Linked DNA regions of Oryzias latipes. The main gene of each other region encodes a partner of the protein of the gene in region 2 in a complex. Links are inferred from orthologs where the notes say so. Each region holds a gene or a part of one and is shown on either strand. Other genes may lie near its edges.

Evidence for each region.
Region 1: the proteins of receptor tyrosine-protein kinase erbB-2 (region 2) and tyrosine-protein phosphatase non-receptor type 18 are in contact, whole or in part, in a crystal structure (PDB 4NND), measured with the Homo sapiens proteins. The link is inferred for Oryzias latipes from reciprocal best matches to the Homo sapiens genes ERBB2 and PTPN18. Residues at the interface, in NP_004439.2 of Homo sapiens: Leu1109, Gln1110, Arg1111, Tyr1112, Ser1113, Glu1114; in NP_055184.2 of Homo sapiens: Arg61, Tyr62, Lys63, Asp64, Val65, Arg138, Asp197, Arg198, Ser230, Ala231, Gly232, Cys233, Gly234, Arg235, Arg268, Ala273, Gln276.

The regions. Positions count from the first base shown.
Region 1 is NC_019865.2:32,123,714-32,127,465, forward strand, and holds the start of tyrosine-protein phosphatase non-receptor type 18, read right to left. Parts: upstream 2,591-3,752; 5' UTR 2,471-2,590; coding exon 2,399-2,470; intron 1-2,398. UniProt on the Homo sapiens protein: Differentially dephosphorylate autophosphorylated tyrosine kinases which are known to be overexpressed in tumor tissues.
Region 2 is NC_019877.2:7,422,718-7,426,372, forward strand, and holds the start of receptor tyrosine-protein kinase erbB-2, read right to left. Parts: upstream 2,845-3,655; 5' UTR 2,615-2,844; coding exon 2,542-2,614; intron 1-2,541. UniProt on the Homo sapiens protein: Protein tyrosine kinase that is part of several cell surface receptor complexes, but that apparently needs a coreceptor for ligand binding. Essential component of a neuregulin-receptor complex, although neuregulins do not interact with it alone.

The DNA of each region.
Region 1 (3,752 bases), on a different chromosome or scaffold from region 2:
GCAATGGTCAATGCAAGACAGAGTTTGTTTCGGAGGCCGCCACAGATCAACTGTGAACCAATGGTGAGTCAGAAAGTCTGAACTTCTCAAAATAGCAGCTCACTGAACTGTAGCCGCAACAGCTGTCTGCTTTTTTTCTGCACCTGAACTCTTCTTTTCATCATTTTTCCTGCACTTCCATCCAGGAGCAGACGTGTGTTTGATCAGTTCAAGTCTGAAACCGTGGAGCAGGAAAGAAGCGATCCTTTCGGGACGTGGTTCTCAGAATTGTCATTTTTACAATCAAACGTGTTTTGAATATTGATTTACCTGGCTTATGTAAATGAATGCAGCTGTGTGAGTCTGTTGTTCAGCTACACTTTGGCAGAAGTCAACATAACTACCCCCTGCTGCAAAGCAGCTGGACGGATGTCCTTCTGCATCCCCTCCGATGTTGGTGTTTGAGATTTGCCTCATTCATTTAGTTTGAATGCAAATGTTCCACTGACATTTTATTCAAGAAAATTTTAATGTAGAGAGATTTCTTATTATCTATTTTGCAAATACCTGAAGTGAGACACAAAGTAAAACAGACTTTCTGTCTCCACTCTGAAGATATCTTATTTCCCTAATAAAATTCCACTTCTCCTTTGATCAGGCTTTGTTTGTCCTTCCGAGTTTTCCTCGTGAAAGGTGATGTCTACATCACCTGGTCATTACGGGAGATGGTCCGCATTTTTTTTAAAACCTGCTTATTCCCTTGTAGGGTCACATGGTTGCTGGAGCCTATCCCAACCACTGTTAGGTAAAGGTTGGGTCACCCTGGACAAGCCACCAGTCTGTTGCAGGGCCACAGAATCACACACACTCACATGAACACCTAAAAGACAACTTAGTCCCCAATTAACCCATGAAGCATGATTCTGGACTGAGGGACGAATATAAAATGAATGCACGGGAAGAACATAGAAAGGCACCACCTGGAATTTGAAACTGGGCCTTCTGGCTGCACCAAAGGGGAATCGAGCACGTTCCACATCTTCCACTGAACTGTCCCTTTATTTCACATCTGATCAGCTGAGATAAAAAGGTAAGGTAGAAAGCAGGATAACATCAGCACAGTCTGGGTGTTGGTAGTTCTGTTTAGTGCTTATGTTTGCCTTTGGGTGATTGACTCACTGCCCATTTTAACAAAACAACAGTAATGACACACTTGCTGGATTAAAACATTAAAACAAAATGGCATGTTTCAGGGTGGTCTTTCAGTCTGGCCTGTCTAAGGCACACCTGTGCAGTAATCATGCTGTCCAATCAGCATGTTGATATGGCACACCTGCGGGGTGGGATGGATTATCTCAGCGAGAGAGAAGTGCTCACATTTACAGATTTAGACACATTTGTGAACAATATCTGAGAGAAATGGTTGCGCTGTTTGCAGAAAATGTGTCAGATCTTTGAGTTCGTTTAATGATAAATGGAGCAAAAACAAAAATGTGGTGTTAATATTTTTTGTCCAGTGTAATTACAGCGTTTATGATTCAATACATTTTTAATGTAAACACATGGATTTTTGAAAACAGTAAAGTCCCATTGAAGCTGACCTTCCCATCCCAACATGAACCTCAAAAAGAGTTATCATGATATCCAGCAGAAGGTCTCATTTTTACAGAAGAAACAACAAGAGCTTTTATTGAAGTGGTTACTTGAAGGTTTGAATCTTCATTTTTACCTGACCTAAAAACACATCCCTGACTTTTACGTCCCCTTTGCTCACACACATTTCATTTCCATCATCTCATTCTTCTGTGTTCCTTCTTATTCCTCCGTTATATCGCTGCACAAACAAGCAGCTTCATGCTGCTCTCAGGTATCAGCATGACCCGACTGGGCGTCAAGTCTGTCAGAGATGGGGGGGCAAGGGTATCACATAGTGTGAGGTCAATCTAAAGACCTCTTTCACTCTAGTTTAAACCGACACAAATGCTTTAAAAAACATTCGTGTCATCTGTGCGTCGTTGGTTGAGCGTTAGGAGGCTTGTTAGAGACAGAACACAGGCTGATGGGAAACAGTAGCTCTTTCAGAGCTCACTGGCTGCAGCTCATTTGAATTAATGATTCAGAGACGACAAAGAAACAAACAACAAGGGAGCAGCCCTAACTGCAAGGCTCACTGTGTCCTCAACTGACAGCCGAAAGGCACACTAACCTCAACCACCATGACCAGAGAGTTACATGTCTGTTGTTTTATTTTTAGTTTAAACATGTGGTGTATTTGCTGTTTATCCTAAAGTTTTAGATAATTCTGATCTTAACAACAAATAAATGTCTCACCTACAGAAGCTCCAGCTCATTCTGAGAAACACTGACCATCAGGGCTACCTATTTACCTGTTCTCTGAGGGATTTAAGCAGACACTCACGTTGAACTCCTGCTCCAAACTTCTGGTATCCCGAGCCTTGAGGGCTGACAGCAGCGAAGGCAGTAGTTCCATGACGAGGAGATCCAACACCTGAGCGAAGCTCCAGCGCAGCAGGAATGCAAATGCAACCTCGGCACATCGACCTTTCACTGGTCTTAGTTCTCTTTCAGAGCTTCTCAGTTCTGCCTCTCAGTCTCACACCGTTGGTTAATGATTCAGTGTGAGATAAGGGCGCCTTGCTCTCTCAGTACAAAGAACAAGGAAGTGTGGGGAAACTTTGAATGAAATAACAGACAGTTCCGATGGCAAAAGAATGAATTTCTGTACCAAAGAAATAGGCAAACTGGAGGGCATTCAATGTTAAAAAGATGACTTATAAACCCCCTGCTATGTATTGCAGTTTGTGTCCGTGCAAAGGGACAGAGAATGGAGGAGAGGAAGAGTCTCCTGCAGAAGCCTAAAAAAAGACAAAACTACCCATAAGCAACTATAAAAAGAAGGCAGCAAGGGCACACATTAAGTAAAACACAAAAAAACTAAGATCCAAAAAAAAAGGAAAAAAAAAATTAAAAGTGAACTGATGCTAAATCACAGGTGTAAAATGACTGAACGTCAAGTATGAAGGAATGGAAAGTAAGACAAGCTCGCAGACATAACCGGACAAATGCAACCACACTGACTGCTCCTGTACTGCTCTGCTTGTCACACGTGCACACACAAAAAGACGTTTCTGTGTCAAAAGATTTGTACAACCAGAAAGACCTTCACAAACTGAAAGACATTCACAAACTGAAAGACGTTCACAGAGTGAAAGATTGTCACAGACTGAAAGATGTGCACAGACTGAAAGACGTTCATAAAGACGTTCATAGACTGCAAGACGTTCACAAAATGAAAGACGTTCAAAGACTGAAAGACGTTCATAAACTGAAAGATGTTCACAGACTGAAAGACATTCATAAATTGAAAGACGTGCACAGACTGAAAGACGTTCATAAAGACGTTCATAGACTGCAAGACGTTCACAAAATGAAAGACGTTAGAAGACTGAAAGACGTTCATAAACTGAAAGATGTTCACAGACTGAAAGACATTCATAAATTGAAAGACGTGCTTAAGCCAAAAGACGTTCATTGACAGAAACATTAACAGGCCAAAAGACATGAACAGCTTGAAAGACGATCACAGGTCATCATGTTTCGGTTTAGGGCTCCAGAATGCAGATGCAGGGTAAGGCTTGGATGCAAAAAGGGCAAGTTGAAGACTGTTTAATGACACTAAATCAAAAACCAAGGAGGAGCATCTGCAACACGAAACGAAAACCAAATAGCAGGCAAAACTCTCCAACACAGAG
Region 2 (3,655 bases):
TGCTAGTTTTACTATTTGTTCAAATATCGCAAGTTATATCGTCATCACAATATTGAATACTAATATTGCAAGTTTTCCTCATATCATGCAGACCTACAGTCAATGTAGTTTACCAACATTGAGCTAAAACAATTTGACAGATTTCTGAGTACTGTGTATCATAGAAATTCAGTTCCAGGTCAAAAGAACAAATAAATTCCTACAGACCGACAATATTTTGGGAAACTGAAGGCATAAAAATGTGCATCAAAGTCATATAAATATGATATTTTTTAACCTTTGGATCTATATGAAGACAACAAGGAGAGACCCAAGAGCTTCAAGCCTTCAAGATATTTATGAAGCATCCACACCACTGACTATTATTAGTGAACGCATCACAGTCCTCTTTTTAAATTTAGCTGCTCCAATGCCGGGTCTGAACATGAGAGTTGAGCTTATGGGAAACCATTCATGCACAAAATCTTTAAAAAAAAAACACACACACGCACATTTTGCATACATGCAATAAAATAACACTGACATGCAAACATTTTATGTAGGGTAAGGGCAATTTGAGCATTTTATACAAATAATGACAACATATAATATAGACAAATCTCCCTCCAAGTAAAAAAGCATTTTAGATATAACCTGAGCTGAAGTGAGAACTTTAGTGTGATTATTGGTAAAGTCTTTGATAAGAAATTCTAAATTTTGATAGGATTCATTACAATTGATTAAATGTCATTTTACTGGTCAAATTTTTGTTTTAAAATAAGTTGTTTAGTGATGAAGTGACCAAAAGTAAAACCTTTGATCATAATATTGTGAAATCTCACAATAGAAACGAATAAATTTGATACATTTTTCCAGATAATTTGTGATACATTCTTATAAAAAGAATTAAATCGAGGAATTTCATATTTTTGAATTGTCTTTTTAATTGAAACAAATTGATCTTCAAACACAGCCTTTAAAAGGTTTACATGAAAAAAATGATAGTGTCTTAGTGTTAAATGCCCAGGTTAAGATGCAAAATAATATTAAAACAATAAGATGCTTGATTGGTTGAATTAAAAGTTTTTTATTGCCAAAAAACGGACGTTCCTCTGAAAAACATGAGGGTGAGCGGAGCCTTTTTAGAGAACGACCATCCTGATCTCAGTCAGAGTGGGTCAGGTCACTAACAGTCTAGACGGGCAGAGTTAACCTGCAACTAGCGTCAATTCAAATAGACTTTGCCTTGAGGTGCGCTAAAATATGACAAGGGCGTGAACTGTGCGTCCACTGAGGCAATCGCCTCACACCAAGGATCCTGCATAGAGGGGCTGTGCACACGTGTGAGTGACATAACAAATGAAAGTAAGAAGGCTGGAAGTCAACACTTGGGCATAACATGTTGCTTAACTCTGGGAACCAGTCAGAGCACTCCGGCACAGGTCCGATGCTTCAGAGATCAACACTGCAGACTAAAGTGCACCAACCTGTTCCCCCCAACAATGCTGTCGCGTTCAGAAATGACTTCACCTGTGACTACTGGCTTTGTTCCTGCGTGTGTCCGATTAGTGGTAGTGCTTCGGGGGCAGCTAATAAAACAGGAGTATTGTTTGTGCTCTAAGGATTTCGTCTTTCAACTTAATTGAGCTGGAAATTGGTAATCAAAGTCCAAAAAAAAAAATTCATGGCTCTTTTTGTTGTTTTTAACCCCAAAAACTGGCAATTTAATAAAGTCTGCACATAGTCTCAGTCTGTGCAAAGGTTTTACATGTTTATTGATATTGCTAAATCCTCCTAGAACAGATATTAAACTAGTTCATAATAATAATCATGAAAACTGTGGTTTTCTTGCAGAAATAAAAAATGATATTGGAGTTTTTCAAATCTGACTCCTTTTCTTCGACTTTATATAATTGGTATATGAAATGTGAAAAACAATGAAACAAATAGTTTAGAGCGGTGCTACTTTCTGCAACATGAAGAAATCCAAAAACTCCTCAGGTTTGGCTTTAAACAAAAGAAATCTTGATTTGCATTTTGCAAATTTGCTCTTATTTGCACTTTCAGTTAGTTAGCTCTTACTTTACTGGCATGCACTCCAAGCTCCAAGTGTGATAAGTGGCCCTCTATCAGACAATGTCCCCTTAGGAGCCAGAAGTGAATAATTGACATAGTCATGATGATCTTCTGCACACAGAGCTTTTGTTTGTTTGTTTGTTTGTTGTTTACCAACACTGCTCTGCTGCATCTCAACACCAGTTCTCGAGTTTATTGCCCAACTATGTGGCTTTAACTCTCTTTATTCAATTTAGTGTAAGTTTGTAATTGAAATTCAAACTGAAAGCTTTTAGCGAAGCTACTTTTTGACAGGTGGGAATTTTGTCCTTATCTGCGCTCCATAACTCCCATGAATCTCCGCAGGGAGGACGAAATCACGTACGAGGAATGCAGGAACCCGCGTCGACTTCACACTTCACGTCCACACGAACACAACTCGAACGGGGTCTAGTATGTCCGCGTTCCCAAACCGTGAGAGCGCAAAAGACGACAAAAGTCACCCACCTTCTCCGCCCAAAACGCCCGGCACTCCGAGCAGAACGGCTCCGATAAACACCAAACTTCTCGCGGCTTCCATCTGCTCGCACCCGGCGCGTTTAGTCCATATTCCAGAGTTAGGTCTGTCTAATATTCGTTGTAGCCGACAAAAAAAACACAATAGGTCTTTTCCTTCTTAAAATATTAGACCTTAAAATAATAGCAGCTTTAATCTCGACTCCCTTAGTGAAATTGCTGCCCTTCTTCCTATCCACGGAGACTTCCGAACTCGGACTGTTGGTAGTAACAGTGTGACAAGCGCGCTCCCGTGAAGGCCTGCGCGAGGAGTGGCACTCTGACTCCGCCCACAATCACAGATTTCTGTCTGCAGACCTCAAACTCACTACACGCTTATCAATGTGACATTAAAGACTGTAATGCATGGATTCCTTCTGTCATACAAATATATATATGTTTATTTATTTATTGGTCAAATTTATGTATCCTACTCAAACATGTTTTTTTTCCAACTGAAATGTATCTGAAAAGTGTTCTAAACGCTCATCTTTATGAGGCTGTAGCTTTGAGCATCATGTTAGAACACTGCCAAAAGAACTTAAAGTTCTCTAAAATAAAAATGTGCTGAAGTGTTTAAAAATCATTTTTGTTGGAACAACAAAATAAAATAAAAACTTCCACACCATAATACTACTACCTTCACCAACTTGGCACCTTGCATTTTCAATGGTAGATCTTCCTGGCACCCCAGAATCCCAGAAGGTATCAAATGCAGATTTTTAAATTTATTTGAATTTAAATCATAACATATGGGAAATAGTCAATATTTCAGGACTTTTTTTTCTCCAAATTTTCCATGATACAAGAAATACCAAAAAATTAGATCAGACTGTCTTTGTCAACAAACTTCAAGATGTTGGATTATGTTGTAATTATTGTTGTTTATGGAGGATTTAGCAGTAGCATCTCAAGGAGATGCTTGATCCTGTGAGATGTTCTCAGGCTTGTTATCCTTTTTGTTTTCAGTCTATTGGGGGCTAACATTTCTTGTGCTTTGTCCAAAAAACCCCCCCACATATATGTATTTACACACAGACACGCACACAATACAATTTTCCTGCTC